7 linked regions of the Nothobranchius furzeri genome follow. The protein of the gene in region 4 interacts with the protein of the main gene of each other region in a biochemical or structural test. Links are inferred from orthologs where the notes say so. Each region holds a gene or a part of one and is shown on either strand. Other genes may lie near its edges. The genes, in order: csf3r, ptpn12, flt4, shc1, zap70, proto-oncogene tyrosine-protein kinase Src and GRB2-associated-binding protein 1.

The links.
Region 1: the proteins of shc1 (region 4) and csf3r form a complex in vitro, tested with the Homo sapiens proteins (2 studies listed by BioGRID, with this or other methods). The link is inferred for Nothobranchius furzeri from reciprocal best matches to the Homo sapiens genes SHC1 and CSF3R.
Region 2: the proteins of shc1 (region 4) and ptpn12 form a complex in vitro, tested with the Homo sapiens proteins (2 studies listed by BioGRID). The link is inferred for Nothobranchius furzeri from reciprocal best matches to the Homo sapiens genes SHC1 and PTPN12.
Region 3: the proteins of shc1 (region 4) and flt4 form a complex in vitro, tested with the Homo sapiens proteins (2 studies listed by BioGRID). The link is inferred for Nothobranchius furzeri from reciprocal best matches to the Homo sapiens genes SHC1 and FLT4.
Region 5: of the proteins of shc1 (region 4) and zap70, one has a biochemical effect on the other in vitro, tested with the Homo sapiens proteins (2 studies listed by BioGRID, with this or other methods). The link is inferred for Nothobranchius furzeri from reciprocal best matches to the Homo sapiens genes SHC1 and ZAP70.
Region 6: of the proteins of shc1 (region 4) and proto-oncogene tyrosine-protein kinase Src, one has a biochemical effect on the other in vitro, tested with the Homo sapiens proteins (4 studies listed by BioGRID and IntAct, with this or other methods). The link is inferred for Nothobranchius furzeri from reciprocal best matches to the Homo sapiens genes SHC1 and SRC.
Region 7: the proteins of shc1 (region 4) and GRB2-associated-binding protein 1 form a complex in vitro, tested with the Homo sapiens proteins (2 studies listed by BioGRID and IntAct, with this or other methods). The link is inferred for Nothobranchius furzeri from reciprocal best matches to the Homo sapiens genes SHC1 and GAB1.

Annotation. Positions count from the first base shown.
Region 1 is NC_091745.1:71,077,919-71,081,684, reverse strand, and holds part of csf3r (granulocyte colony-stimulating factor receptor), read left to right. Parts: intron 1-1,180; coding exon 1,181-1,350; intron 1,351-1,479; coding exon 1,480-1,630; intron 1,631-2,707; coding exon 2,708-2,790; intron 2,791-2,866; coding exon 2,867-3,074; intron 3,075-3,145; coding exon 3,146-3,331; intron 3,332-3,465; coding exon 3,466-3,567; intron 3,568-3,766. UniProt on the Homo sapiens protein: Receptor for granulocyte colony-stimulating factor (CSF3), essential for granulocytic maturation. Plays a crucial role in the proliferation, differentiation and survival of cells along the neutrophilic lineage.
Region 2 is NC_091741.1:48,575,200-48,579,507, forward strand, and holds the start of ptpn12 (tyrosine-protein phosphatase non-receptor type 12), read right to left. Parts: upstream 3,004-4,308; 5' UTR 2,784-3,003; coding exon 2,682-2,783; intron 1-2,681. UniProt on the Homo sapiens protein: Dephosphorylates a range of proteins, and thereby regulates cellular signaling cascades. Dephosphorylates cellular tyrosine kinases, such as ERBB2 and PTK2B/PYK2, and thereby regulates signaling via ERBB2 and PTK2B/PYK2.
Region 3 is NC_091741.1:101,961,768-101,965,969, forward strand, and holds the start of flt4 (vascular endothelial growth factor receptor 3), read right to left. Parts: upstream 2,802-4,202; 5' UTR 2,700-2,801; coding exon 2,642-2,699; intron 1-2,641. UniProt on the Homo sapiens protein: Tyrosine-protein kinase that acts as a cell-surface receptor for VEGFC and VEGFD, and plays an essential role in adult lymphangiogenesis and in the development of the vascular network and the cardiovascular system during embryonic development.
Region 4 is NC_091745.1:78,657,017-78,661,467, reverse strand, and holds the start of shc1 (SHC-transforming protein 1), read right to left. Parts: upstream 2,835-4,451; 5' UTR 2,617-2,834; coding exon 2,020-2,616; intron 1-2,019. UniProt on the Homo sapiens protein: Signaling adapter that couples activated growth factor receptors to signaling pathways. Participates in a signaling cascade initiated by activated KIT and KITLG/SCF.
Region 5 is NC_091748.1:67,053,309-67,057,074, forward strand, and holds part of zap70 (tyrosine-protein kinase ZAP-70), read right to left. Parts: coding exon 3,724-3,766; intron 434-3,723; coding exon 273-433; intron 181-272; coding exon 42-180; intron 1-41. UniProt on the Homo sapiens protein: Tyrosine kinase that plays an essential role in regulation of the adaptive immune response. Regulates motility, adhesion and cytokine expression of mature T-cells, as well as thymocyte development.
Region 6 is NC_091743.1:58,638,858-58,643,117, reverse strand, and holds the start of proto-oncogene tyrosine-protein kinase Src, read right to left. Parts: upstream 3,012-4,260; 5' UTR 2,799-3,011; intron 1-2,798. UniProt on the Homo sapiens protein: Non-receptor protein tyrosine kinase which is activated following engagement of many different classes of cellular receptors including immune response receptors, integrins and other adhesion receptors, receptor protein tyrosine kinases, G protein-coupled receptors as well as cytokine receptors.
Region 7 is NC_091742.1:87,984,695-87,988,460, reverse strand, and holds part of GRB2-associated-binding protein 1, read right to left. Parts: intron 3,164-3,766; coding exon 3,087-3,163; intron 2,998-3,086; coding exon 2,888-2,997; intron 1-2,887. UniProt on the Homo sapiens protein: Adapter protein that plays a role in intracellular signaling cascades triggered by activated receptor-type kinases. Plays a role in FGFR1 signaling. Probably involved in signaling by the epidermal growth factor receptor (EGFR) and the insulin receptor (INSR).

The sequences.
Region 1 (3,766 bases), about 7.6 Mb from region 4:
ACAGATCTGGGAGGAAATGCCACAAGACACCATCCGCTGTCTCATTAGGAGCATGCCCCGACGTTGTCAAGCATGCACACAAGCTCGTGGGGGCCACACAAGATACTGAAAAGCAATTTGAGTTGCAGAAATGAAGTTTTTGAAATAATGGACTAGCCTGCCACATCTTCATTTCACTCAGATTTTAGGGTGTCTACACAATTGAGCCCTCTGTAGGCTGATAACTTTTATTTCCATTAAAAGACTTGGCATCCTTTTGTTCCTAAGGCATTGCCCTGTCATTATTTGTATAGATATCCAACTTCATATTGAGATCTGATGTATCTAATGTGTTTCTTTAAAGCGTTCCTTTAATTTTTGTGAGCAGTGTAGTTTTGTGCAGAACAGATGCGCTCCCAGAAAATTTTCATGAGGGAGCCAGAGGTGGCAAACCAAATTGGTCCTTATGGTGATTGGTTTTCAAGAAAGTAAAAAAGCCCAGTTGTTTTTTTATATTTTACCTTGTTCTAAAATGAAAAACATTTCACATCTAGAAAAATTTTATTACTTAAAATTAAGGTAAATGTTCTTAAATATGATCCAAATTCTCTTGTTTTGAGCAAAATTTGCTTAGCTAATTTTTCTAAAATCCAGAGAAATAATTTAATGTTTTTATTTTATTAACTAGTTTGAAAAATTCTAGCTAAGCAGCTTTTCCTTACCCCATAAGCAGATTTTTTAAAATTCAAAACAAGACTATTTGGATCACATTTAGGAATATTAATGATATTTTAGGGAATGCATATTTTTTGTGATGAGACTTTTTTTCTTTTCAGATAAAAAAGATCTACAAATGTAGCTTTTATATGGTCTTGAAAACCCAGTTTTTGCTATGTAAGGACCAACTTGGTGTGCCACCCCAAACTTTTCTCTGGCCCCCACATGAAAATTTTCTAGGGGTGCCCCTGTTCTGCGCAAACTTCGTTTTTTCTCCAGATGGTTAGAAAAGTAAACAAGGATTACAGCTATTTTTAGCTCTTTACAAGGTGTTCCTTTTTAAAAAGTCACTTGTGTTTTTTCCTACAAGCTCAGTGCTTTTTTTTTAATGATTAAAATGGAAAGATGTTGCACGATCTTCTAAATCTCACGTTGATAAGCCAAAACTATTTAAGGTCTTAAATGTTGATTGTTGTTATTTCAGCAAAGTTTGACCCACCAAAGATTCGAGCCATCACAGCAGACCCCAAAAGGTTGGGCTGCCTGAAGCTGGTGTGGCGCTTGTCCCAAAATCAGGAATGGATGTACTTTAACTGTTTAAACCTACAAGTGCAGTTTAAAGCTGCTGGCAGCGGCCAATGGTCCGACCCACTGGTGAGTTTAAATCAATTCACCTTTAATATAAAATGACAGCGTGCTCTTGTGTTTCCTCAGCAAGTCTCCAGAGAGTAAAGATGCAGTGTTGATAGTTGCAGACAGTCATGGCTGCACGATTTTTGTCAGACCTTCCCAAACAGGACTAGATCGCCCAGACCGATGGATTTGTGTCGTCTCCTTCCTGGGACTGAGTATTTAGCCCAGATCAGAGTCCAATACAAGCAGAGCCCCTGGAGCGAGTGGAGCAGCAGCAAGTCTGGAGTCACCCCGGAGACAGGTCGGGCTCAGATCAATTTAAAATGACACAGTCACTTTTAATCTTTGCCCTTTTCTTTCTACTCTCAAATTCAATTCAATTCAAAAATACTTTATTAATCCCAGAGGGAAATTCAATTGTTTCAGTACACAAATATGACCTTCAGCTCTTGCTGGTTAGGTTCACGGCCGAGTGTGAAGCGGCTGGGATGAGGATCAGCACCTCCAAACCTTAGGCCATGGTTCTCGACCGGAAAAGGGTGGCTTGCCAACTCCGGGTCGGGGGAGAGGTCCTACCTCAAGTGGAGGAGTTTAAGTATCTCGGGGTCTTGTTCACGAGTGAGGGTGGGAGGGATCGGGATATCGACAGGCGGATTGGTTCAGCATCTGCAGTGATGCGGACGCTGAACCTATCTGTCGTGGTGAAGAGGGAGCTGAGCCAGAAAGCCAGGCTCTCGATTTACCGGTCGATCTACGTCCCAATCCTCACCTATGGTCATGAGCTTTGGGTAATGACCGAAAGAACGAGATCGCGGATGCGGATACAAGTGGCCGAAATGAGTTTCCTCTGTAGGGTGGCCGGGCTCAGCCATAGAGATAGGGTGAGGAGCTCGGACAATCGGGAGGGACTCGGAGTAGAACCGCTGCTCCTCCGGATCGAAAAGAGCCAGTTGAGGTGGTTTGGGCATCTGGTCAGGATGCCTCCTGGACGCCTCCCTGGGGAGGAGTTTCGGGCACGTCCTGCCGACAGGAGGTCCCCGGGTCGACCCAGGACACGTTGGAGAGGTTACATCTCCAATCTGGTCCGGGAACGCCTTGGCGTCCTGCCGGAGGAGCTGGTGGAGAAGGCCGGGGAGAGGACAGTCTGGAGCTCCCTAGTTGGGATGCTGCCCTCGCAATCCGGACCCGGATAAGCGGAGGAAGACGACAACGACAACACACATATGCATGTCTGCATCTGTAGCTTAGGCTGAATTGCAAGTATCGCGTTTTGTCGTTTACCTCGCCAGCGGATCTATAAAAACCTGCCTTGAACAAAAAAAAGTTCCACTTTCTAAAGTGTTTGGAGGCTTTTTAATGACACTTTCTTTCCTTTCAGCTCCTGTTGGACGTTTGAACACGTGGATGAAGGTTTCCAAAAGCCAAATGCACAAGCAGCTCGACGTACAATTGTTCTGGAAGGTGAATGCCTTTTCACTTGTGGTTCTGGCAGAGCTTGAGAGGTTGTGCTTTTGTTACTTCTTTCTAAACGTTTTAGCCATCAAGACGTTTCCGCGCAAACGGACAAAATGTGTCCTACGTGGTCTCGCTCCAGAAACGGCTTGGTGAAAGGTGGAAAGTGTGCTCCACAGGCATGAATCACTGTACTTTCAAGCTTTCTGCAAGAGTAAAGACAGTATATCTGACAGCTGTGAACAGAGCAGGAGCATCTTCCCCTACTGAAGTGTGGATTTACCAAACTAAAGGTAATAATTGTTGAAAATATCGTTGGGAACATCTGGTTTCTGCACGCAACTAAAAGTTTCTATGTTTGCAGCTCAGACGGCGGTGTTGGATGTCACAGCTGTTCCTCATGATGGATCATTCTTGGTCCAGTGGACAACCGCGGCCCCATCAGACCTCACTGGTTACGTGGTAGAATGGAGGCCTTTGTTAAAATCAGACCTCTCACACATCCTGTTTGAAATTGTGGACAAAAACCAGTCCAGTCTTTCCCTTTATGGTAAGCAAACTGTTCTTTATCACACGTTTTAGAAGGAACCTCCTCCCTCTTCCTGTCGTGCATAAGCCGTCTGTACACACTGTTACCATCCAGCAGCCACTGATCCACTCTAACCTCTCCACCCTCATCAATAGGCAGCTTTGAGCCCTACAAGCCCTACGGGATCTCCGTATATCCCAGATTTAAGGATGGGATCGGGCCTCCGCAAACTGTTGATGCCTTCTTGCAACAAAAGGGTGAGTCATGGAGGATTGTGCAAAGAGCAAGCAAAGGTGCAAGAGTCAGCCTGTATCAACTTTGAAGTAGTGAGAAAAGCACTGGCAAAAATCAGATGACATCAACTGGGCAATCCCCTTACTGGAGGCATGATGTGTGAGGAAGTAGTGCCCTCTTGTGGAGGGAAAAGGTTTCTATTCTTGGTCTCTAGGATCACAG
Region 2 (4,308 bases), on a different chromosome or scaffold from region 4:
GTTTGCTATCGTTCACACTTCAGACTCCTCGTCTTTGTTTTTAATTTCTTCCAGGGTGGTGCTCCCCCCTATCTGGCCACACTCCTGAACAGACATTCCCCATCACGCGCTCTGCGCTCCTCTGACCAAGGCCTGCTCGCTGTTCCTCGTTCTAGGTGTCGTACTCGCGGGGACCGGGCGTTCTCAGTCCTAGCACCGTCACTCTGGAATGAGCTGCCACCATCAGTTAGGCTGTCCCCATCTCTGCCAGTCTTCAAGAGTCGCCTAAAAACACACCTCCTCCGCTTGGCGTTTCCTGAACATGTTTGATTTTGGCCCTCTTTTATGTTGAATTTATTTTACAGTTTTCATTGGTTCACTCTATCCATTGTTTTACACATTTGTCCTGTACTAGAATGTTTCGCCTTTTGTGTAATTTGAATTGCTTTTATTTTTGATTTATTCAATATATTTACCTTCTACTGTACCAAGTTCAGGGCCTTGGGCTTCCTGACAGGGTTGCGGAAGGCACTTTATAAATAAAGCTTTGATTGATTGATTAAATCATTAAAACATGAACTCTGGATACGTTTGGTTCAGAAAACAGATACAATTAGAAATATACAGTTATATAAGGAAGATGGATGGACAACTTTGGTAAAATACATATATTACATAGTCTAGTACCCCCAGCAGAGTTGTGCTTTCTAACAGTGTTCAAGTTGTGATTATGCAATCAGGTTACCAACTCTCAGAATGTTAATGTAAAATAATTGCAACAACAGCTTTACATGATAAATAAACCACAATAAAACTTAAAAGCAGCTCTTCTGCTTTTATCCAATCTCTGAATGCCTTATGTGATAATCCAATTTGATTTTCTGAAATTAAAACTATTCATAGAATTAGTGATGCACTGATTTGAAATATTTGGGCGGATACTGATATCCGATATGAATCACTGTTATGGCTGATAACTGATATTTGCCAATACCAATATACTGACATTAATGCTTCTAAAATCACCAGATTTTGTACAGAATGAAAATTATTAAAGCTGAATTTACGTTATTATGTACACACACCACACACATTTACACTTCTGCGATGATTAAAATAACTGTCACATGACTAAACAAATACACATGACCTCCCTCACCCTCTGAAAAAGATAAACAAATGGAAAGATGGAAAAAATATTGGTTGTTAATATCAGCCTGGTTTTATTTATCGGGCTGATACCGATATGTTAAAAAATGACTTACAAGTGCTGATATCGATATTGATGCCGATATATTGTGCATTCCTACATAGAATTGATAAGTTTAGCGTCTGAGGAGTGAGGACACAACTAGCCCGACATGAAGTTCTAGTTAATGTTTTTGAGAGTATGAATTAGAGTTGAAAAAGTTCCACTATTGAGCCAGCACAAAATGTTATGAAATAGGCCAAGAAAGAATGTTGCAAGCTCCAGCAAGCAGCTTGGATGAAGCAGGGAAGTAAGCAGTGTTTGTTTGCAAGTGTAGGCAAAAGAACTCTGACAGGGATGGGACTCCAAACCAACTCAATCTAAAACATTTAATTCCCGGAAACAAAACATATTGGTTAGTTTGTATTTCAACTATTTGAAAAACAGTTTTTACAATATTTCAGATTGCTAAAAATCACAAACGTGGAATTAAATGTTTGTCCTTAACATAACATTTTGAAACATTGTAATCAAAGCCACCCAACTAAAGTGGCCACTTGAGCACAAAAGCTATTATGGACGTGTCATTCATGTTGTGACTATTTCAGCCACAAGCCCAGGAGTGGGAGAGGTCCAATTAGGAGATCAGAACTGCAACATCCAGACATGTAGTGAGAGGCAGACCCATTACAGAGCAGTCTGTGGTCATCACAAAACAAACTAAATGTGGTTTTGAAATGACTTCATCAACAAACAATTACAAAAAAGGGCTCAACACTGGCTCAGATATTTAATTTCAGGCATGCCCAGGACACAAGTTGCAGCTGATGATTATGAGAGGGAAGTAGAGGAGGGGAGTGGTAGTTTTTGTGGTTGGGTATTACTATTTGCACTGAGTTGCGTGATTATCACACATAACTGTTTAAATTAAACTTAGCTATCATTTTAGATGGTGTAGTTTCACATTACAGGATGTGTTATGTTACAAAGTGAAGATGCAAATACTGGTGAGTCTATCAATCACTGCAGAACACGTGTTCCCAGTACAGTTGTATTTTTGATGTAGATTTAAATTTATACAACAAAGGAACTTGGAGGTAGAGGAACTAGTGTGCACCTAAGATCTGTTAGAATAACACAATAGGAAACACCAGAACATCCCAGTTTAGCCTTAGCTAAAGCTGCTCTTCGCTATGCCAGACAAAAACATCTAATGGCTTTAAGGTGACGTGACTTGTTTTGCTGTTTGCCTCTTTGATTTGAAGACAGGAGTTGGTGGCGTTTCTGTGCGGTTCGGGAGACAATGCAAGGCCGCCATATAAAGGCTGGAAATGGGAGGAAAAGGAAGTGGGCATAGTGTGGCCGCCCCCGCCTCACCTCCTGGGGGATACAGGGAACCATAAGACGGGAAAGGGGGCTCGGATATAAAGGGTCAACATGAGGAAAACGTGGATATTTTGACACAGGAAAAATTAAGAAGTCTAGCTTTAGACTCCTGCTGAATTAGGCTCACCATAAAGTCGCTGCCAAAGTTGTCCTCCCCCCTCTTCTCGTCTCTTTCACTCATGGTCTTCACCCCCTGGATAAACTGTCTCAGGATGCCGGCTTGGTCCATCTTTCAGTCCTCTTAAAACGCTGCCTTTTTCCGTTTAAATATATCTCCCAGACTAACAAGGGGAGGAGAACATTAAAAATAAAACAGCAGAGGACAAAGGAGAGGGAGAAGGGGAAATAAATAAAAATAAATAGGCTTTCACGGGTCCTCCCAGAGAGTCATCGTCGGTCCACAACACAGCACATTTATTTATTATCGCCCCATGTTGTTTCTGCCTTTCCTTCTTTCTTCTGGACTGTTTTCACGACAGCAGTTAGTCCCAAAGAAAAGCTGCAACGGCCGGCTAGCCAGCCCCTCGAACAAGTTTACAACCGCGGCGTGGAATAAACTGTCAGTACGAGGCTCGGCGAGAAAATACAAAATAAAGAAAAAATACCAAAAAACCCGGTCCGGTCAGTCTCTGTACCCCTCCCTGTCTACCTCGATTGCCACATTCACACTAGTGCTCGTTATTCGCTACTGGAGAACATCCGGACTGGGCAAAACCGACGAGATGTAGTCCCGCCTTTTCCAGGATATACCTGTTTCTGATTGGTAGCAAGAGAACGTGTGACAGAATGTTATTGGCTGAGACGGCTGCAGCTCTACCAAACGGCCTCGCGTGATTGGATAAAACTTATGCCTGTTTTTCTCAGTTTATCAGCCACAGGCATCCAACATTCATAGTGGGAACAATCAATCAATCAATCAATAAATAAATAAATAAATAAATAAATAAATAAATAAATAAATAAATAAATAAATAAATAAATAAATAAATAAATAAATAAATAAATAAATAAGATATCCATGTAATGTGTATTATTGTCACTTCAGAAAAATGAACAGACGTATCTCCTTTTAACAAAACAATATAATCAGCAAAAGGTTCAAATCAATTTATTTATTCAGCATGCAGAATTTGACATGAACTGTCCCCTTCCAGCGAATGAGGCTACAATGTTATTACACATATGCTGTAATTCAGTTAAAATGATAATTATACGTTTCAACTCAGTCTGTCATACAATTTGAAATGTATTTGTTTGTAAAAAAAATTCTCTAATAAAAAGACAACAAATCAGAAGTCTCATTTATGATATCACAGCAGACTCTGACACTTTCCACATGGTCAGATTTATAGTGATTTTCTTATGTTTAATTCTCCTTCTTTAGTCCTGGAAGATGGATGTGAAGCTCGCTAAACTCAAAGCCATTTTTCTTCTCTTTGGTTTGATGATGTAAAATTGTTGGGACGGGCAGTACATCTTCCCACACAAAACCTAAAGGATCTTTTGTTGCCTGTTGTGAATAAGTACTTTCCTGGCATCAAAATGTGTCATTAAAATTCCCACAAACTATAAGTGAAATCCATGACACATATCGAACAGGATCAGAAAATAACTTTTATCACCACAGACTCCCATTTATTGTTTTTGATAATAAATGGGAGTGTTTTCTTCGCTTTTTTAGGAAGTGAGTCACATCACAGCTGAGCCTCAGTGGAAGAAGATGGCCGTGACTTTTGTCTGGTAAGAGCATTGCA
Region 3 (4,202 bases), on a different chromosome or scaffold from region 4:
GTTAACTTTCTGCTTTTTTAAGTGTTTTTCTCTGCCGAGAAGCTACACCAGGTCTGGCGTTCTGCTGAGCTGTGGTAGCCTCCTCAAGGGGCCATCAGCTAGCACACTGCTGCTAACCACTTAAACATTATCCCTATCCTGATAATAACATTTTACTTCCTTTATCATAGAATGTGCTACTACTAGTTTACCTGCTGAATTATTCCAGATTCAATCAAATAAATCCAATAAAGTTGATTTTGTTAAGAAATAGAATATCTACTAAGAAATCACGATGTATGCAGCCACAGAAACACTACTTGGTGCTTATGCTGCGCCAGGATTGTCTGGAGGTTTCCGCCTGTTAAAAGGGAGTTTTCCTCTCCACTGTCGCTGCATGCTTGCTGACGACTGCTGTAAAGTCACTGACACTAGTCAGTGACTCGATGCAACCTGCTGGGCTACTTATACAAGAAACATTTAACTAATTGGGCTAATGAACTACATTCAATTGGAATGTTTACTTTGTGAAGTGCCCTGGCACATCCAACCGAGAGGATTTGCAAAGAAAGACCCAGGACATGTTGGAGGGACTGTTTCTCAGCTGTCCAGGGAACACCTTGGGACTCTCCCGGAGGAGCTGGCCCAAGTGGCTGGGGAGAGGAAAGTCTTTAGGCTACCGAGCCCACGACCCAATCACGGATCAGCGGAAATGGATGGATGGATGGATGGATGGATGGATGGATGGATGGATGGACATTGTGAAGTGCCTTGTGACATTTCTGGTCATGATTTGGTGTTAGATAAATAAACAGAATTGAATCAAAACACAAAATCCCTGATTCCTTGTGAAAATTAGCCAATACACTTGATCATAGTTTATAACCAAAAGGGCACAGGCTAAAGTTTAACTTAAGCTTACCCTATACAAACCTTTGATTAAAAAAAAGTCTGCAAAAACCTGACAAAACTTGTGATTGGTCAGGAAGTCGCTGTCGTCTACAGCACCGCCCATGCGCTCTCAAAAACATAAAGACAGCCGAGGAGATCTAGAGGCAGACGTTCCCCCATGACTGGAGGAGTGAAAAGATCCGCAGCAAGCATTTTGTTCGTGGACAAAAATTACGGGAAACCTGGGTTTAGAGGTGGCGAGTGCACAGAGGTGAAGGAGAATGAGGGACAAATTTGTTTGTGTTAAAAAGTCTGTTAAATACAAAAAACAACATAAATATGATATTATGCACCATCTTGGAAAGGATACATGACAGGATACCACAGAACAGCACTACGCCCTCTGTTGTCCTGGCGGGGAATTGCTTTGCAACACTGCCCAGGAGACGGTGAAGTCAGAGGGCAGTCCGTGTGTGCTTGTCTCTCCTCGTGGAGGAGTATAAATTAGGCGTAATGGTGCTGCATGTCTCCGCCGCGATGCAGACGGAGAAGTGTAAACTCGACTTTAGTTTTCAAATTTCTTGTCTTGAAATGGTTAGACATAAATTCTAACCTGATTGTACCTTTCTTCTCTGAATAACCTTTCAAGTCCACCACATTGAAGTTGGCTACCACAACCCATTGACCTTGGCCAACAAAGAAAATGGATAAAACTCAGTCAATTTAGCAGAAAATTAGCTCATTTACTTCTTTTTGCTGGAATTTGGTGTATCTGAGAGTCATTCACAACACACACTCCTGTAACTGATCATGCAAGTTTTTGTGATTTCAGCATTTCACAAAAAAGGTTTTTCTCAATAAGGTCCTCTAAGGAACAATAAGCCCTTCCGTTTGGGATGGATGTCCCAGTCAGCACATCAGCTCAGATATAGATAGATCGAATCAGAGTGATGATCCAGGCAGCCATATGGTGAATGCCCCTTGCAGAGCTGCTCGTTACCAACAGCTGCAAAACAGCAGTCACCACGAACAACATCAGATCTTCAGCCAAAAATAAAAAATAGCTGCAAACAGTCTCAGACAAAATGTAAAGCAGGGGCGTTAGCGAGAGGAGGCAAAAGGTGAAAGAACGTGCTTTACATTAGAAGAACTTTCCACTGACATACAGAGGGAGGGAGGGGGAGAGAGAGACAGAGAGAGAGAGAGAGAGAGAGAGAGAGAGAGAGAGAGAGAGAGAGAGAGAGAGAGAGAGAGAGAGAGAGAGAGAGAGAGAGAGAACACATAAAATTAAAAATCTAGCCTCTTTTTAAGGTATGTGTTGGGGATAAAAACACTCTATGTGTCTGACTCCAGATCAGTGGGCTCCTTCACCTCCACAACGTGACCCACATGTAAAACTGATCTGAGACCACTTAAATGAACCATCAATTATCAGCTCCATCTCTATTAGTCAAAACAACAGCATGCCTCCCTCTAGTGCCTATTTGCATGCAGACTTATTAACTTAGTTTGATTCTCAGAGGCGTTGGGGAACTTTGAGGCAATCTGAGTCATTTTAATAGCTCCAATTAATATCCACTGCTTCTGCACACGGGTTTATAATGAGTGGGACAGACCGGCTTTAAAACTTCAAAAACGTCCAAAACGTGGATCTGAACGTGTAACCTGTCACGTTTACTCATCAAGACAAACTCGATTAAGACTAGTGCAAAAAGTTTGTTCGACTAAAATAGGAAAGTTTTGCGCTCCAAACTTTGCCCGGCAGTCTCACCTGAGGCGTACGCGATTCCGATCCAAGTCCGACAGAAAAGCGTGAAATCTGTCTTCATTTCCAGGTAGATCTGTGGCACACGCTCGTGCTTGGTGGTAATGCTGGTGTGAACTTGTGAGAAGTTGGATGAAGATCCGTGGATGTTGGAGAGGAAATGGGGGGCGGGGGGGGGGGGGGGGGGGGGGGCGCAGGTGAAACCCAACCGGAGTGGGAAAAACAAATAAAACCGTTTTTTTTCCTGTCCGTCAGACGGATGCATGAGACACTGAAAGGGATTTACAATGATTTCCCTTTCCTCTGCTCGTGACTGGAGCACACGACCCACCCAGTTTAAAACAAGCTGAATTCTCTGCGCGCGCGTGTGCGTGCGTGTGTGCGTGTGTGCGTGTGCGTGTGTGTGTGTGTGTGTGTGTGTGCGTGCGTGTGTTGAGGGTCGTCCAAAAGTCCATGACAAATTTCCTTCCTGCAGATTCCCATCAAGCCTCATCCAGACCTGCCTGCAGCAGTTACAGAGAGGATGGTAAAGGTCGGGTTAAGAGCAATAAGGACCACATGGAGTGCTTTGGGGTTTATTTATGAAATAAATAAAATAACGTGATTTCTTTTCACGGCTGTCTGAAGACACAAAAACACCTTCAATAGCTCAGCAGGTGGCCACCAGAGCTCTGAAAAAGCCTCAGCAGGAGAGAACCTGACAAATGCCACGGAAACACGCCACATTTTAACTCTCAGTTTGTCATTTTAATAGCGTTTGTGAGGTAATTCTATAAATAATAAATATCTGACCTGTTCACAGCCTCAGTCTGAATATTTGGGGGGTTGGGACTGAAGAGTTGCCATCATCATATAGATTGCCATCATCTTGGATATGTTTCAAAAATTCTTTACAAGTGAAACTCAACAATTCGAATATGGGGCAAAATGTTATTTATGCCACTAATTTAACTAATAGGTGAAGCTAATGAATGAGACAGACTCATTCCAAGCAAAGCCAGATATTTCTGCCTTTATTTGTTACAATAGTGATGATTATGGATTGCAGCTCATGATAACCCCACATATAAAAATCTCTTTTTTTAAATGGTTACACTCAGTGTCACACTCTAATCAGCTAATGAATCCTAAACATCTGCAAAGAGTTCCTGAGCCTTTAGATGGTCTCTCAGTCTAAGTTGAATCACTGACATAAATGGACTTTTGACCGTACATTATTTTTAGGTTTTACCTTATATTAATACATTATGTTATTAAAAGTAGCATATCCAGGGCATCCAGAGTTCAAGTTCAACTCAGTGTTCTTCTCATTTCTGCATGTAATGAGATATTTACAACAGTGATGTGACTTCTAGGAGCCTGAAGCTGGTTTAACCCAACAGTCCACCTTGGTTCTGACTGTCAGACTAGACATTATCTCATCAGTCCTGTCATACGTCAGGTCTCTAAATAAAAACTGTTAGTTTGTAAACATATTCAGATGGACGCAACTCTAAAGTGTATTCCTGCAACAGTTTTAGAACACACAACTGTAACGTTGCTGTTGAATCAGCTGTGGTTAACTCAC
Region 4 (4,451 bases):
ACCGTGTTGGGTCACGCTTGTGCGTAATCATATGCGCTCATGAGCTGAAGAGGATGTGAGATTCTGGGATTCTCCTCAGACGGCTCCTGGATGTGTCGCACATTGGAGACAGGAACAAGCGCTATTCAGCCAAAGTTTCATAATCAGGGAACATTTTCTAAGTGACAAGTCTCTCTGAGAGACAGGGTTTGGAAAACACTCGCTTCAGTGGAAGTAAGCTTCCCGCATGCGCTTCTGCGACGCTCGGATCCTGCACGTCTTTTAACACATTGGTCAGGATTGACGCACTTTGTTTTCATTTAGTTGGTTAAAAAAAAGTCGGGCTTGGGCTCGGGCCGGGCCAGAGAATCCTGAAAACCTTTTTGGGCCGGGTCGGGCTGGGGCTCCACCCCCTCGGGCCGGGCCGGACACGGGCTCAGATTTTAGGCCCGTGCAGGGCTCTACTGGGAATTTTTATTGATTTGAAGAAAGCCTTTGATACAGTCGATCACAAAATACTTTTATCAAAAATGGAGAAGTGTGGTATAAGGGAGACAGCTCTCAATTGGCTAAAAAGTTATTTGAGTAACAGAGCTCAGTATGTGCAGTTGGGCTATCACAAGTCTAGCTGTCTCGAAGTTCACTGTGGAGTTCCGCAAGGGTCGGTACTTGGCCCAAAGTTATTTCTGTTATATATAAATGATATTTACACAACTTCAAAATTATTTAAATTTATTATGTTTGCTGATGATACAAATATTTTGTGTTCAGCAGAAGATATACAGCAACTTATACTAAAGGTCCAGAATGAATTGAGTGAGCTTAAGAATTGGTTTGATAAAAACAAACTGTCGTTAAATGTCAGCAAAACAAAGTTGATGTTATTTGGAAATAAAAGAAGTAGTAAAGAAATCTATTTGACTGTTAATGAAATAGCCATTGAAAGAGTGTATGAAATTAAGTTTTTGGGGATATTGATTGATCATAAGCTCTGTTGGAAGCCATACATACAATATGTGTGTTCTAAATTAGCCAGAAGCATTGGAATAATAAATAAAACAAGATATTCTCTACCACAGAAAGCACTACACACACTTTATTGTACTATGATTCTACCATACTTATCATATTGTGTCGAAGTATGGGGCAATACTTATAAATCTAATTTATTAAAGATTTGTGTTCTCCAAAAAAGAGTGGTAAGGATAATTATAAATTCTGGATATAGAGATCATACAACTCCATTATTCTACAATTTAAGATTACTCAAATTTTTTGACTTAATTCAATTTAAAACTGTCCTTGTACCGTATAGGGCCATGATGGGTGTACTGCCGTGTAATTTGCAAAGGTTGTTTAAAACTCATGAAGAGGGTTATGAATTGAGAGGCGTTAAAAACTTCATTTTTCCATTATACCGAACAACTATGAAAAGTATGTGTGTATCTGTATGTGGTATCAAACTGTGGAACAAACTTGATGTGACTTTAAAATTATGTAAAAACATTAGATCATTTAAAATGTTGTATAAACAACTCATAATTGACTCATACGTAAATAGCAAGTGATAAAAATGGTAATTGGCTTCAAATGGAATATTTTGTTTTTGTTGTTTATTGGTTTTGTTTTCTTTTTTCTGTAGATTCATGTGAACAATTGTTTTGTAACTGTCTTTTTATGTAGCAACTAGCAAGGTGAAGATAGAACGACCTGCATAAAGAATTTTTTTTTTCTTTCAAATTTGTTAATGTGAGCAAATGTGATTTATTAACTGAATTGGGGCTGGACTAGATAAGCTTTTGCTTCTTCCAGTTCCCTCTCAAATGGTTTTATGTTATTGTATGTTTTGTATTGTTTCATTCAACAGCATATGTTTATCGTATTCCTCATTTAAAAAAAAAAAAATTTTTTTTTGTATGCACCAGGAATATGGGGGAGTGCATATGCAATTTCATGTTTTCGATGGTTTGAGATAAATAAATAAATAAAAAATAATAATAAAAATACAGGCTGGACAGTTGAAGTGTGCCACTCACTCACCCGAACAGTATAGGAAACTCCCGTGGTGCTGATCACGTTGTCAGAATGCAGCCAGCCACGGGTGGGCTTGTTGACAAAGGAGCCATGGCGCGTCCACTCGTCTCCTCCCAGCTGCCCTCCTTCCACCCGTGCCCTCCTGGACGCTCCTCCGAGCCGGTTCATGTCCTGCAGAGGAGGTCGGCGAGGGGGAGAGGGAGCAGTTAGTGTGGGAATGGGTTGATGAAGAGTAGGGGAGGAGCTAGAGTTGCTCCTATCATCTCCAGATGACTCAACAGGTGCCTGGGACTGCTGAGACCTGTTTGAGAACCTGGGCACTGGGAGAAGAGTGCCAGTGACCCCGAGACGAAGGGATCTCATACTGGGGAAGAAGGAGCAGAGGGTGGTGGGGCTGTTCTCAGCTGGGCGCGGGGAGGTGGGGGGCAAAATGGCAGTGAGAGACGAGGAGGAGAAGGAAGAAGGCAAACCAGGGGAGGGAGTCAGAGGGGTGGCGGGGCTGGATGGAGGGAACGGCGACGGAATGGAGTTGGTCTCATCTGTTGAGCTCAGCGACTCACTCCGAATGTGGGTGTACTTGGTTTTCTGCATGAGCTCCATCATGTATTATTTATAGGTCCTCTTAGGCTGCAGAGCTTCAAGCCAAGTCTTTTTGTCTCACGACTCAAAGTTTTTCTCTGGAAGGACACTCAAGTATCTGTCTGTGTAGGAGCTGCGTCCATCTGTCCGCCGCTCAGGCAGCCCGCACCAAACCGCTTCACAACTGGCTTTATCCACACTGAGAGCAGGAGGAGAGGAGGTGCTGCGGAAAGGTGGGGCCTCCTCAGCAGCGGTGGGGAGCAGATGAAAAAAGTGTTGTAGAGCACCAGAACAGCTCATGTTGTCATCAGTTTCTTTTGGTGTTTTTTGCTTTTGTTCGCCGAGTTCCCCTGAATGGACGAAAACACGTTCTCAGCTCTCCGTAGAGCGATGGTCTTCAGCCACGATGCTAAACGATTTCTCGTCCCAACTTAATCGTCTCCGAGTGCCGGACGACTATTCAGCTGTCGCCAGCACCACGACGAACCAACACAAGTGATTGTCTCTGAATGCTCCTTGTGCGTGTGTGTGTGTGTGTGTGTGTGTGTGTGTGTGTGTGTTACTGCACAAAAAGGTGTGTACATCAGTTTGTGACGCGTCTACATGGCAGTGTAAACCGAGTGTGTGTGCGTGTGTGTAGCAGCTCCCCTTTGGCAGCTCTATCACGCTTGACATAGGCCTGTAAAATTCCTATTAGCAGCCAACAAGGGGATTGCAGAAGGGGCTGCACACGCTAACACAGCAGCAACACATAAAACACAACCTCGGCTGGTCGATAATACAGCGAACACCTGCAGAGCCACGGAAGAAGAGAGAGGAGGCTCTCAAACTCTGCAGTCGTGCAGTCGCTTCAACTTTTCACGACTATTCTTAAATCTGGCTCCCCTTTCTACTCCCTCTCCCCCTTCGTCCAGATGCTTTCATGTCCTCTCTGAATGGCCCTTGCTCTCTCCCTCCCAACGTCTCCTTCTTCTCTCCTCTTCCAGATCACTTCTGGTGAAGACTCCCTTCCCTTCTCTGAGCTCTTCCCTCCCTTCTCTCTTTCTCCTCTCTTATCCTGGAAGTCCTCTCTCTTCCTCCACACGATGTACTCTGCCAGCCTCTGCTTCTCCAACGCCTCCGCCCTCTCCCGTGCCACCACTTCCTCTCTCCTCTTCCAAACGATCTCTCGGTCCCCCTCTCCCCCTCCCTCGATTGCTCGCCCGTTCTCCAGGCTGCCTTGTTTAACAGTCCCACACTTGTATGCTAAATACTGAGCCCTGTCGTTGCGCCTCTTTACGTTAAGGACCGCGGATGGCTAGAGGCTAGACATGTTGGCTTTAGACGCCGATATAAAACCAAAAGAAAGTGAAAAGTTAGTAATTAAGACTGGGCTTAGAGCTGAGCCCGTTCCTGACTGAGGTTCCTGAAATGGCCTGCCTTGGTTCGTGTGTTCTGTAGAACTGGCCACCTTGGTCACGGTGTGTTTTGTTGCTGGAGCACCATTTGATCGTGGTAAAGTTGAGTCTGAGATGTCTGTCTGGTACAGCGAGACACACTGCAGTAGCACAGTGGTGATGTAACACGGCAGAATGTAGGTCATAGGATGACGATGACTACCGGTGGGCCTGTTGAGACGATAACAAGCCCTGATTGGTCAGGCTTGGACCCCCAACTTAGGGTTCCCTGAATGGAGACCCACTGGTGTTGTAAATGAACCCGCTGGGTTAAGACTGCACTCAGCTCCTGACTCGGTACTAGCATGGACACAGATTATAGTTGTTTACCTGAGAGAACAGTATTGACACCGATATGAACGAATCGCCGTGCTATAATCCAGAACAGCGTCCCTATTTTTCTAAGGCTTATCAAGCAAGTTA
Region 5 (3,766 bases), on a different chromosome or scaffold from region 4:
TAATGAAGGTAGGCAAAGATGTAAAACAGCATCAGACCAACCTGCCAGATTGTGTCAAACTTTGTTCCATCTGGCATTGACAGTTTTCCAGATTTGTCCTGGATGACCTGATAGTGGTAAACAGTTTTTCCATACATGACGGAGAGAGCAAACGTACCAGCTTCCTCTTTGTCTCTGACTCTAATCCAAACAAAGACAAAAACCTTCAATAGGAGCTCAACAGCTATAAAGCAGATAAAAAAGAAAAAGAAAAGTCACTATGACCAACGTACAGAAACTTGCCGTCATGTTGAGCTCCGGAGTAAAGCCGTCTCTCTCCTTCATGTCGGTTGATTTTCCCGTGATACCAGGGCATCTTCTCATGGGCTGTGGTGGCAATCAGCTTCTCCAGCTGAGGAGCTTGACTGATGATGGCCTGCTCCATGGCTTCCCCCTGAACAGACACACTCATTTATACTTCTTGAAGGGTTTTGGTGTCCCCATGATTGCTTTAACCCTTTGATGCATGAATTATGAAATCTTCAACCATGATTTTTTTAACAATTTTTTTCATTCGTCTTTAGGTGTGAATGAAACAAATTTCAACAAATATTTTTTTGTAAAATTTTATAATTTACAAATAATTTATTACATGTCCACCTCAGTGGACAGCGTGCATTCTGAGCATGAAATATGTTGGCTTGGCTTACTGAAGTCCAAATGGAGGGGCTCAAATGCAATAAAGTCTTCGACAGCTGTGCTCAATAGCAAAAACAAATAAATAACAATTTTGGGTACCTGTCCACTGTAGTGCCCATTATGCATCAAAGGGTTAAAACACATTTTGCTTTGACACTTAAAATTATGTTTGCTTGTTCGTTCGTTTTCCTCTGCCTATCCAGGTCTGGGTCGCGGGGGGTAGCATCTCAAGTAGGGCATCCCAGACAGCCCTCTCAACGGTCATCTCCACTAAGGCCTGTGACAGGACCCCAAGGTGTTCCCAAACAAGATTGGAGATACTGTGTACTTGCTCCAACGTGTCCTTGGTCGACCCGGGGGCCTCTTGCTGGCAGGACATGTCCGAAACACCACCCATGTAAGCCGTCCAGCCGGCACCCTAACAAGAAGCCCAAACCACCTCAGCTGGCTCCTCTCGATGCAGAGGAGCAGCGGCTCTACTCTGAGTACCTCCTGAATGTCCGAGTTCCTCACCCTATCTCTACGGCTGAGCCCAGCCACCCGCCGAAGGAAACTAATTCCTTCAGGAAAGGAAACTGCTTAGCCAATCACCCGACCTGAACGGCATTACATTCATCTCCGACAACAAAGTAAGGAACCTTGGTGTTATCTTTGACCAGGACATGTCCTTCAAATCCCAGGTTAAACAGGTTTGTAGGATTTCCTTCTTCCACCTTTAGAATATTGCTAAGATATAAACATCCTTTCCAGGAGTGATGCTAAAAAACTAGTTCATGCATTTATTACATCAAGACTGGATTACTGTAATTCTTTACTATCAGGAAGTCCACAGAATGTAGTTAAAATTCTTCAGCTTGTCCAAAATGCTGCAGCTAGAGTTCTGATGAGAATTAAAAAGAGAGATCATATATCTCGTGTCTTAACTTCCCTACATTGGCTACCTGTTAAATTCAGAATAGATTTTAAGATCCTCCTTCTCACATATAAAGCTCTTAATAATCAAGCTCCATCATACATCAGTGACCTGACTGTTCCATATGTTCCTAACCGAGCACTTCACTCTCAGACTGCAGGTTTACTGGTGGTTCCCAGAATATCTAAAAATAGGATGTGAGGCAGATCTTTTAGCTATTAGGCTCCTCTCTTGTGGAACCAGCTCTCAACTTTAGTCCATGAAGCAGACACCATGATGTTAGCCTAGATCTGGACAAGTGGGGGAGTAGACTGAGGTGGAGTGTACAATCGGTAAAGACGGCTCTCCCTTGCCCTGCCTTCAACATGCCTCCATCTAAAAGGCTAGGTTATCCAGAGTTACCTCTGTAGTTATGCTGCTATAGGCTTATACTGCTGGAGGACATACTGACCACTTTCCACACTCGACTACTTTCTTCTACAATTTGCTCTTTAACTGTATGATTTTCTGCAATTTCAGCTGTTAGCTTTATTTATTCTCTAAGTGTTTTTCTCCCCAGAAGAAGCTACAATGATGTTCTGCTGAGCTGTGGTGGCCTCATGGAGGGGGCCATCGGCTAGCACACTGCTGCTAACCACTTAAACATTCTCCCTCTCCTCATAATAACTTTTTACTTTCTTTGATACTGAATGTGCTACTACTAGTTTACCCCTTTAATTATAGATTCACTAGGATAAATATAATAAAGTTTATCTCTCACCAAATAGAATATTTAGTAAGAAATCACAATGTAACCTGTGTGGGTGGGTTGGTGTTGTGTGTGTGTGTGTGTGTGCGTGCGTGCGTGCGCGCGCGTGTGTGTGTGTGTCTGCTCTGTCTTCTCGATCCCCATTGAGTCGTGGTTGATGGCTGCTTATATGAGCCAGGATCCTCTGGAGGTTTCTTCCTGTTCTAAGGGTGTTTTCCTCTCCACTGTCGCTAAATGCTTTCTTAGTATGAGGATTACTGTAAAGACACTGACGCTAGTCAGTGACTTGATGCAATTTTCTGGGTTCCTTATATAGGAAACTTTGTCCTTTGTCACTGATTCTGTTCATAACTTTGATGGACGGGATTTCTAGGTCTCTATTTTGCAGATGACGTGGTTCTGTTGGCTTCATCAGACAGTGATCTCCAGCCTTCGCTGGAGCAGTTCGCAGCCGAGTGTGAAGCGGCTGGGATGAGAATCAGCTCCTCTAAATCAAAGACCGTGTTCTTGAATTGAAAAAGGGTAGAATGCTTTCTCTAGGTCAGGGATGAGGTCCTGCCCCAAGTAGAGGAATTTAAGTATCTCGGGGTCTTGTTCATGAGTGAGGTAAAAATGGAGCGTAAGATTGATAGGTGGATCGGTGCTGCGTCTGCAGTGATGCAGGCATTGTATCGATCTGTCATGGTGAAGAGAGAGCTGAGCCGGAAGGCAAAGCTCTCGATTTACCGGTCGCTCTACGTTCCTTCCGTCACCTATGAGACATAAATTATAATGAACAAGATTGCAGATACAAGCAACCAAATTTAGTTTTCTCTCTAGGGTGGCTGGCTTAGAGATAGGTGAGAAGCTCGGTCATCTGGGAGAGGCTCATAGTAGAACCGCTGCTCCTCCATGTCGAGAGAAGCCAGTTGAGATGGCTTGGGTATCTGGTCAGGATACCTTCTGGACGCCTCCCTGGTGAGGTTTTCCAGGCACGTCCAACTGGGAGGAGACCCGAGGGAAGACCCAGGACTGGAGGGACAATGTCTCTCGGCTGGCCAGGGAACATGTTGGGATTCCCCCCTAGGAGCTGGCCCAAGTAGCTGGGGAGAGGGAAGTTTGGGCCTCTAAGCTCAGGATGCTGCCTTTGCGACCCGACTCCGGATAAGCGGGTGAAAATGGATGGATGGAAATTCAACATTTCATTTCTCACAGTGTAAAATAGGTCTCTGAAATATGAAATTACATTTTCTCAAGCATGAAGATAAACTTTGTTGGTAATTTCGAGCAAAACAGTTTTCCAGTTTAATATTTGAGGGAGGTGATAAAATATGACAATGACTTCTCTAGATTTGAGTTGTTAAATGTTCTTCTTTCAAAGAAATGTCAAAATTCTAAACCTCACCTCCAGATTCCAGGTCTGCTTCACGTACTCCCTCAGCATGTTC
Region 6 (4,260 bases), on a different chromosome or scaffold from region 4:
CACAATGTTGTGAGCCTGTGTGTGCATATTTGCTAGCGGCTCTACCCTCTCGGTCTGCCAGGCAACAGCATTTGTTGCATTTTTCAGTAAGTGGGAGTGGAGTGAGAGTCTGGAGTGAGACCCCCCCAAATCAAAATTTTTTTGCTTATAAACTAAATAAACGAGTGTCTAATCGTGCTGCAGACACGTGTCGTCAATAATTTGGCATTTCAGTGCATCTTAGTTAAAATTCAAATATTCTGCCTAAAACTGGCAGTGTTGTGCCGTTGTCAGGTAAAAACTCTGCACTGTATTTTAATTTAAATCTGCCACCGCTATTGGTTAAGAGGTATGCTATGATGTAAACTGGTACATTATGATGTCACAATGCTGTCGTGAGCCTGTCTTTGTGTGTATTTGTTAGCAGCTCCGCCCTCTCGGTCTGCCAGGCAACAGAATTTGTTGCATTTTTCAAACATGAAGAGGGAGTGAAGTAAGTTTCTTGTACGAGTTGACTTGCTCTTTAAGAAATAGTTCCGAACATTCAGCACGTGAACGTGGCATGTCTGATCACACCGATTGTGACTTAAGCTGATAAAATGACAACCCAAAACAAAAACATTTGTGGCTCTGAAGTCAGTCTTACCTTGTGCTAAGATTTTACGTAGGAAACAGAACACTTTTTTTGCTAATCCATCCCCCTGTCCCAGGTCTTATCAACCCTGATTTTTCTTGTGATGATGAGCACACTATTGCTGCACATTTGGCTATGACAAACCTGACTGAGTCACAACAGACGGTACCAGTTGTTGCTGTGCTGCAGAGACTGAAGGAGCTCTGGCTAATGTTTCAGTTCAATGGGGAAATTACAGTTTGCCCTCGGGAGAGAAGGCGAGGAAGAGGAGGTGGGGAGGGGTCAGCGATGGTTCCCCATGATCAAAACAAGAGGAAGCATTCACATTGGCATTGCCGTCTTGTCCTACTTTACATAGTCAGAGGAAGAGAAATGGACTTGATTAGGTCCAATGAACATCAGAACCACATCTTCTTGTCTTCTAAGCCTTTACATGAACAATCCAACATGTGTGGAAAGGGTAAACAAGCTCTCCCATCTCATCTGTCCTCTGGCAAACACACTCAGGAGAGACAAGGGGAAAAAAGGAGGAGGAGGAAGACGGACAGACTGAGGCACTTAGCTGATAAAGAAAAAACACTTCCGTCCATCTCTGACTGAAGGCTCTGGGAACCAGTGATCCTGGCCGTGGGGAGCGGCTGCTTCAGCGTGATTAATTTTACAGGACATGATGGCCATTTCATGTCAGAGATGTCACGTCATTTACAAATTCTTAAAACTCACCCTGTTCTACGTGTACGCCCCATTTCTGACTTACATTTATTCAAATGAGAGCATTTTATTTATAATACTCCCTCTGATCAAAACATGTCTAAAGTCTCCACTCACTTTTACACTGAAGGCATTAGGAAAGTAAAATAACCTTTTGGTCTTCTTGAAGTCGATATTCACCTGGAAGCCTCCATGCAAAAAAGTTCTGCGACATAACTCATGAGTCGGTGTTCAGGGAACACCTTTTCAACTAGTGAGACATGACAAGCAGTCGGAATTACCTGAAAACAGGCAGGAAAACATTCCTGAAATGTTCCTAGTATCAACACCAAACAAGATCAGGAAAGGTGGGAGTTCACTGAAGGCTTTAGTTCCAGATTAGCCAACCCTTGATTTTAGGAAGCTGTCTGTACATTTAATGTCTGCTGACTAAAACAGATGAACGCATGAATAAATAATGGAGACAATAACATAGCTGCAGCCAATTGAGCCAAATATTTTGAATGACCCAAAAACAGAACATCATGTTTATCACCCATTTGCCCCCATTTATGGGATAAAAATATTTAATTTTGCTTTTACAGCCCAGTTAGATGTTGCAGCTTCCTTTATGTTTGGTGGATCAGCAAGTCCACCAGTAGCTCAGATACTAGGGCTTTAGGATTAAAGTTCCTCCTTAATAAGAAACCTGGATCTCTTTCCTCCCAGAAATTAGCTGGAACAGCCCCCCCCCCCCCCCCCCCCCAAAAAAAAACTATCTGCTAATAAACTATTAGCCACATAATTAAAATTCTATTTCCACGGGATTAAACACCAGTTGTCAGCAAAGCTGCTTTCAATGAAACGCGGGGTGGGGTGGCTGCTGCCTACGGGAGTAGCAACTGTCAAAACGGAATCTTTGCTTGGGGAGAAAATAAAAATAAAGACATAACCTAATTAAAAACCAGCCAGAGTTAGCAGGGCGATCCGTTTCAGGTGGTTTCTGGATTTGTGAATGGGAACGTGGATTGACTTATTTTTAAGAGGGCTCAGTGACAGACAGCGGTAGCTCCAGTGCATGTGGCCTGATGAATCAAAACAGGTGCTGTTACAGCTCCATTTTGGATTTCGATGGATTGTTGGCTTCTTTTTCAGAGCAAACTCGTCTCATCGGATTTTCTCTGAGCATCTGGCGTCGTGACGAAGCCACGATGGCGATTTTTACAAACCTTTTGTTTTTTATGGTCTGTAGTAAGTCCTAAGGGGCAAGCCCCGGCTCAGACTGAATCATTGCACTGGCCGTGGTCTCTGAATGGCCTGTGTAACAATGAGCGTGTGTGTGTGTGTGTATGTGTGTGTAGGGGACCACAGCATATATACATGTGTGAAAACAGACTAACACCTAATTGTTAGCTCGCGGTTGGCCCCAAAACTGTAAACAATCTCCTCGCCAGGAGAGAAAAAGCCGCTACATGCTGTAATAAACTAAACCTACCTTTGACGCGTCTTGTGATTCAGCCCCCCAAAAAAATAAAATAAAAAAATCAGAGAAGCGCAGCGAGGAGCCCGGTCAGATTCGTATGGCTGTTCTCATCAGAAGAATATGGAAGCCGACGGGCAGTTGCTGTGGAAACCTCAGTCCAGCCGCAAATCCCATTTAGCGAATATCAGAAGAATCACCGGAGGAAGGGAGAGAGGTCATGACGAGGACTGATTCTCCTCAAGGAGGGAGCGCAGCTGCCGCGGTGGTGGCGGTGAGCTACGGCGGCGGTGGTCCGGGCGAAGCACCGGCAGACGGTCCAGCTGGAAAGGAGGCGACGGCGCAGTAAAAATCATGCGAACGAGCTGGAGCGGTGTTATCCGGGGAAGACCAGCCTCGTATGGGGGAGGAAGCCGCCGGAGAGAGCGCATCGCTTACGAAACATGAGGGCGAACCAGGGGCGAACACGAAAAGACTAGATTTACGTTCAAAGAGCGTCGGGAGAATTTACGACAACAACTGCGCAACTCGGCTCTGTGAAGGGAATCACTTTGGGCATGACACGAACAGATTCTGAACACCGCTGCCGCGTTTAACCCCTTTAGATCTGTTCAATACATACACAACTTTGTTACATAACAAATCCCCGGCAATGACTTAATTGAGATGATTTGCTTAAAGTACAGGCAACGTAAAGTGGTTGCTTAGCAACACTTCCATTACAGCAGAACGTGACTGTCGCATTAAAGTCAAACCCTCCGGGGTTGTTGACGTTTGGAAAACATTTGCCCCAGTTTTGAGTTTTATTGTTCCACAACGTTGTAATTTAAAATAATCTGGTAACTGAGTAAATGTAAAGGTTTGCACTTGTGAACAATCAGTGCATAGTTTATCAATTTATTTTTCAAATTACTGTCGCAATCATCTATTTTAATAAGTTCCCTTTTAATGTTTTTGTAATAGAAATAAAAGTATTTTTTATAAAATGACGTTTGGCTTAATGAAATTTTTAGCTATGAAAAAATTCTCTCTAGATATGCGATTTCAAGAGAAAGAAAGTTACAATGACACAAATAAACCCAAATTTACATAATAAATCAAAAGCATCGAGATCAAATATGGACAAGTTACCTATTCTTTATATTTAAATACATTGCAAAACTCCAAATCTCCCTATGATATTTGTGTCTGTAGCTGAACACCAGTCACACTTAACTGACTCACAGACATGAGTAAAACAATCATAAAGACAGCTGAGGTGAATGACTTTATTGGTCAGTTGTAATCCACATGCATTTCCAACAATATCTTCAATATTTATTAATAAAATGAAGGGAAACGAAAACTCTTCACTGTCAATGAACATCGTGTTTTTTTGCAGTCTGTGTGAATATGAAAGTAGGATCATTGAGAAATGTGTTCCATGTAGTGTTGTAATAATAACTAAAATGTATCAGATGACAAAAACAAACAAACT
Region 7 (3,766 bases), on a different chromosome or scaffold from region 4:
TTAGCAGATGAATATGGTAGAATCAAAACTAACTGGTCCGATGTATGGAAAATCACAGCGTTTAACCGCTCTTATCCCGTCTTCCCCAGGCTCTGCAGTTGTTTACAATATGTCAAAGTGCAGGTGCACCGTGCAGCTTAGGGATGAACTGGTTGCAGCAAATGTGTGTTGGAGGCACGTTGCTCAAAGCTCTCAGTGTAAAACATAGAGCCAAAGATCGCGTTGGCCACACAGACCCAAAAACACTATGAAAACTGAGAAAAGTGAGAGATCTGTTAATCTGAAAGATAAACTATAGAGTATGTATGTTTAGTGTATTTGTAAAGTAGATGTTTTTAATTTTTATTATTAAAATGAAACAAATATTTCAAGAATATATTTTTTAGATTTTGTGCATCTTTTCATTCAGTAGGACTTAGATAAAGTTATTAAATATTACAGAGTTATTCTCTAATAGCCTACAAACATTTCTATGATTTATTAAAGAGATTTCAGTCATTTTGATACTTGACTTGTGAAAGCTGATTAGAAGGTTGTTTTTTTTTCTAGACATATTTAGAAGGAAAATTTCAAATGTATTAAAATCAATATGGAACTATTTGGATTTTAGTAGCTTTCATGTTATGTGATTTAATAAAATTTTAATTTGACATTTATGTTCTCTCTCTTTGTTGTGAAAAAGTTAGATATGTTTTAGTACTTAAAATTAATGCTTTGCATCCGTCCACACGTGTAGCTGTTGGTCAGCTAATAGCCATGCCATTTCAGGACAGGTTGCTTCAACTATCAACGATCTACTTTTAAATCTTTATTCTGAATTGCTTATTCCGTTTTAGGCCACAGTCTTGTTATTGAAATGAAAACAAAAAGAAAGGATGCTTATGGAGATGTACATCCCATCTGTGTGTGTGTTGCTGTCCAACTGTCAGCAGACCAGGTCAGTTGAAATGGCAGAGAAATGAAAAACGGCAGACATCAGGTCGATTTTTAATGCTCCAGAACGTCAAGTAAGTAGAAACTTGCATTTTGATAAAGACATCTATAAGAAAGAAATGAAATGCCTATGAAATTGTTTCTAAATGGTTTCATTAGGCAAAGTCCAGTCACTTGAGCACAGGCAGCCAGAGCCTGTCAGGCACAGAGTCGCAGGTCAGTCTCTTATAAGGACATACAGTGTTGTATGTAGAGAGCATTTTTTCATGTCCCCCCCAAAAATTACTCTCTGAAGTTTTACTGTTTATTGTCCCCCCCCCAAAATTGAAATGGGATTTCCGCCCTTGTGTCTATGGGTAATAAATGTTTCCTTTGGTTGGCTTCCCTCTCTCAGAGTTACCAGAGACGGGTTTATTTATCCCGATGAGGATTACCTGCAACCTTTCCACGTTAATAAATCATTTTCTTGAGCTAGGATGTGCTAAGATGACCCTTTACAGGGTTAATGAAAAGTCACTCAGACCCCCAACACTCTCTGTGGCCAGAATATTGCACTTGCAACTTCAGAGTGCCGGCCGCCACTTGTTGGACTTAATAAAAATGGATCGGACATGCCTGACACTGCAGTCTGATTGTTTTCTACATGAACACAGCTGATTTGTTTAATTTAGCGATGCATCACTCCTGTAGACACTAATGGATGCTGGGAGACATTTCAGCAGTTAGATTAAGGTGTTAAGAAGACGAACGCACCGCAAGGAGGTAGTTTTTGCTTTTGGTTCTACTAAACGCACACTAGGGGGAGCTAAAAGCAAGTCAAAACTACAAAGCACGCAACCTGAACCCACCTGTGGCCTTAAAGCAGCCAGGTGGAGTATCGGGATCAGTATCTCCATCACCTTAACCCTGCCATGTCCTGTCAAGTACATGTCTACTGCCCTCTGGTGGTACGGTCTACAGGTGACCATTTTCAGAGGTGTGACCAAGTCACTGCTTTGCGAGTCACAAGTAAGTCATGAGTCTTTCCAGTCAAGTCTTGAGTCAAGTCCAAGTCAAAGACAACCAAGTTGAGTCCAAAGTCATTGATGTGGAAGTCCAAGGCAAGTCCAAGACCTTAACTTTGAATTTTCTAGTCATAATCAAGTCATCTGTGCTACTTCATTTAATGATGATAATAAATAAATTCCAGAAATAAAGCATCTTAAAGCTTCATTTATTTGCTCAAACAAGCAGAAAGTGCAACTGAAACAGATTATAAACAAAGTGCTGCTGCATTTAGCAGAACAAGATCAAACCCAGAACCAAGAATGATTTAGGATTTTTGTCCATGTTGCACCACTTTTGTGCTAAAATATCAAATATGCTCAAGTCATCATCAAGCCAACCGATGCAAGTCGTTCAAGTCCGAGTCAAGTCTTAAGTCTTTATAGATTTATCAAGGCAAGTCAGACGTCATTAAAATAATGAATGAAGTCTGACTCAAGTCCAAGTCATGTGACTCGAGTCCACACCTGTGGCCATTTTATTTCTATAGTTCTGTTTAACTGTCATTTAATTACATAATGTAATATTATATAGACTCATGGACGTGATTTTAGGGGGGGGGGGGCATGTCCCCCCACTTTTTCCAAAGTCAAGTTTTGACCCCTGCACTTTTTACCATCCAAAAACAATACTATGCTATTTGAAACTGACTGGTTGAGCTCTAGGACCAAGCGGAAAACAACCGTTTGTGTTGAAGCCTGTTTCCCGTTAGCACATACAATAACGACCCCCCCCCCCCCCGTGCCCCCCCCCACACACTTCTAAAGTGAAAACTACGTCCATGTATAGACTGATGCATTGAATGCAGGTTTTTCTGCAAAGTCTTCACAACGACTTTCACTAACTTTTAAATGTCGCCTAAAACAAACAGGGATGAACAAAATAGCCCCCCCCCCCCCCCCCCCCCCACCTTGATGCTGGCGGAGGCTCGGTGGCAGCGGCGCTCATCGGAACGTAGCTTTCTTCTACGTCATCGTCTTCAGAGCAAACGCTGCCCAGGGGTACCATGCCTTTATTAAACTGGGAAACAAAACAGCATTTCAAAGAGGAAGTGACCCGAAGGTCCACATGGTGCGTTTAAGTTTCAGCAAGTATTTGGTTTAACTTACAAAGTAGCTGTTGAAACTTTCGCTGAACTCAAACATGCTGGCTCTGTCTGACCGAGACAGAGGAATGTGCCAGGAGCCTGAAACACAAAAGCACCAGTGTTTTATTTTCGTTTAACTTCCAACGGCGCAGAAACATGATAGACTCTGATAATGCACAACGTAAAAACAACAACACTCTAATATTTATATATATATATATTTTTTAACTTTCAGGCAAACATGTTGTGTGTGTTTTCCACAGTGCAAACAGAGCTTGACCAGATCTGAATCTAGATGGTGCTAACAGCCTGGCACCAGACACATCTGTGTATTAAACCAAGTCCATGCTTGTCTGGATGAGGAGAATTCGGCTGTAAACGTCCCTATTAATGTTCTTTTTCTCCAACAGGGAATAAAGCGGTTTCAGCATCGCAGTAGAAGAATGTTCCTGCTGAAACACACCTTTGTCCTGCTGGTGGACAAAGTTCTCATCCTAATGATCCTAACGCTGATCAAGCTAATAAAACAAGTGCTAATTGTTTCAGATGCTGAAATGTGAGTGGAGCAAAGCTTCTTAACATCAGTGTTCTAATTTCCTGCTGGGTCACAAGGTTTGATTAAGTATGTGTCAATAACGCAGCTAGTTTTTTCCTGCCCTTTGGCAGAAATGTGTGTGTGTGTGTGTGTGTGTGTGTGTGTGT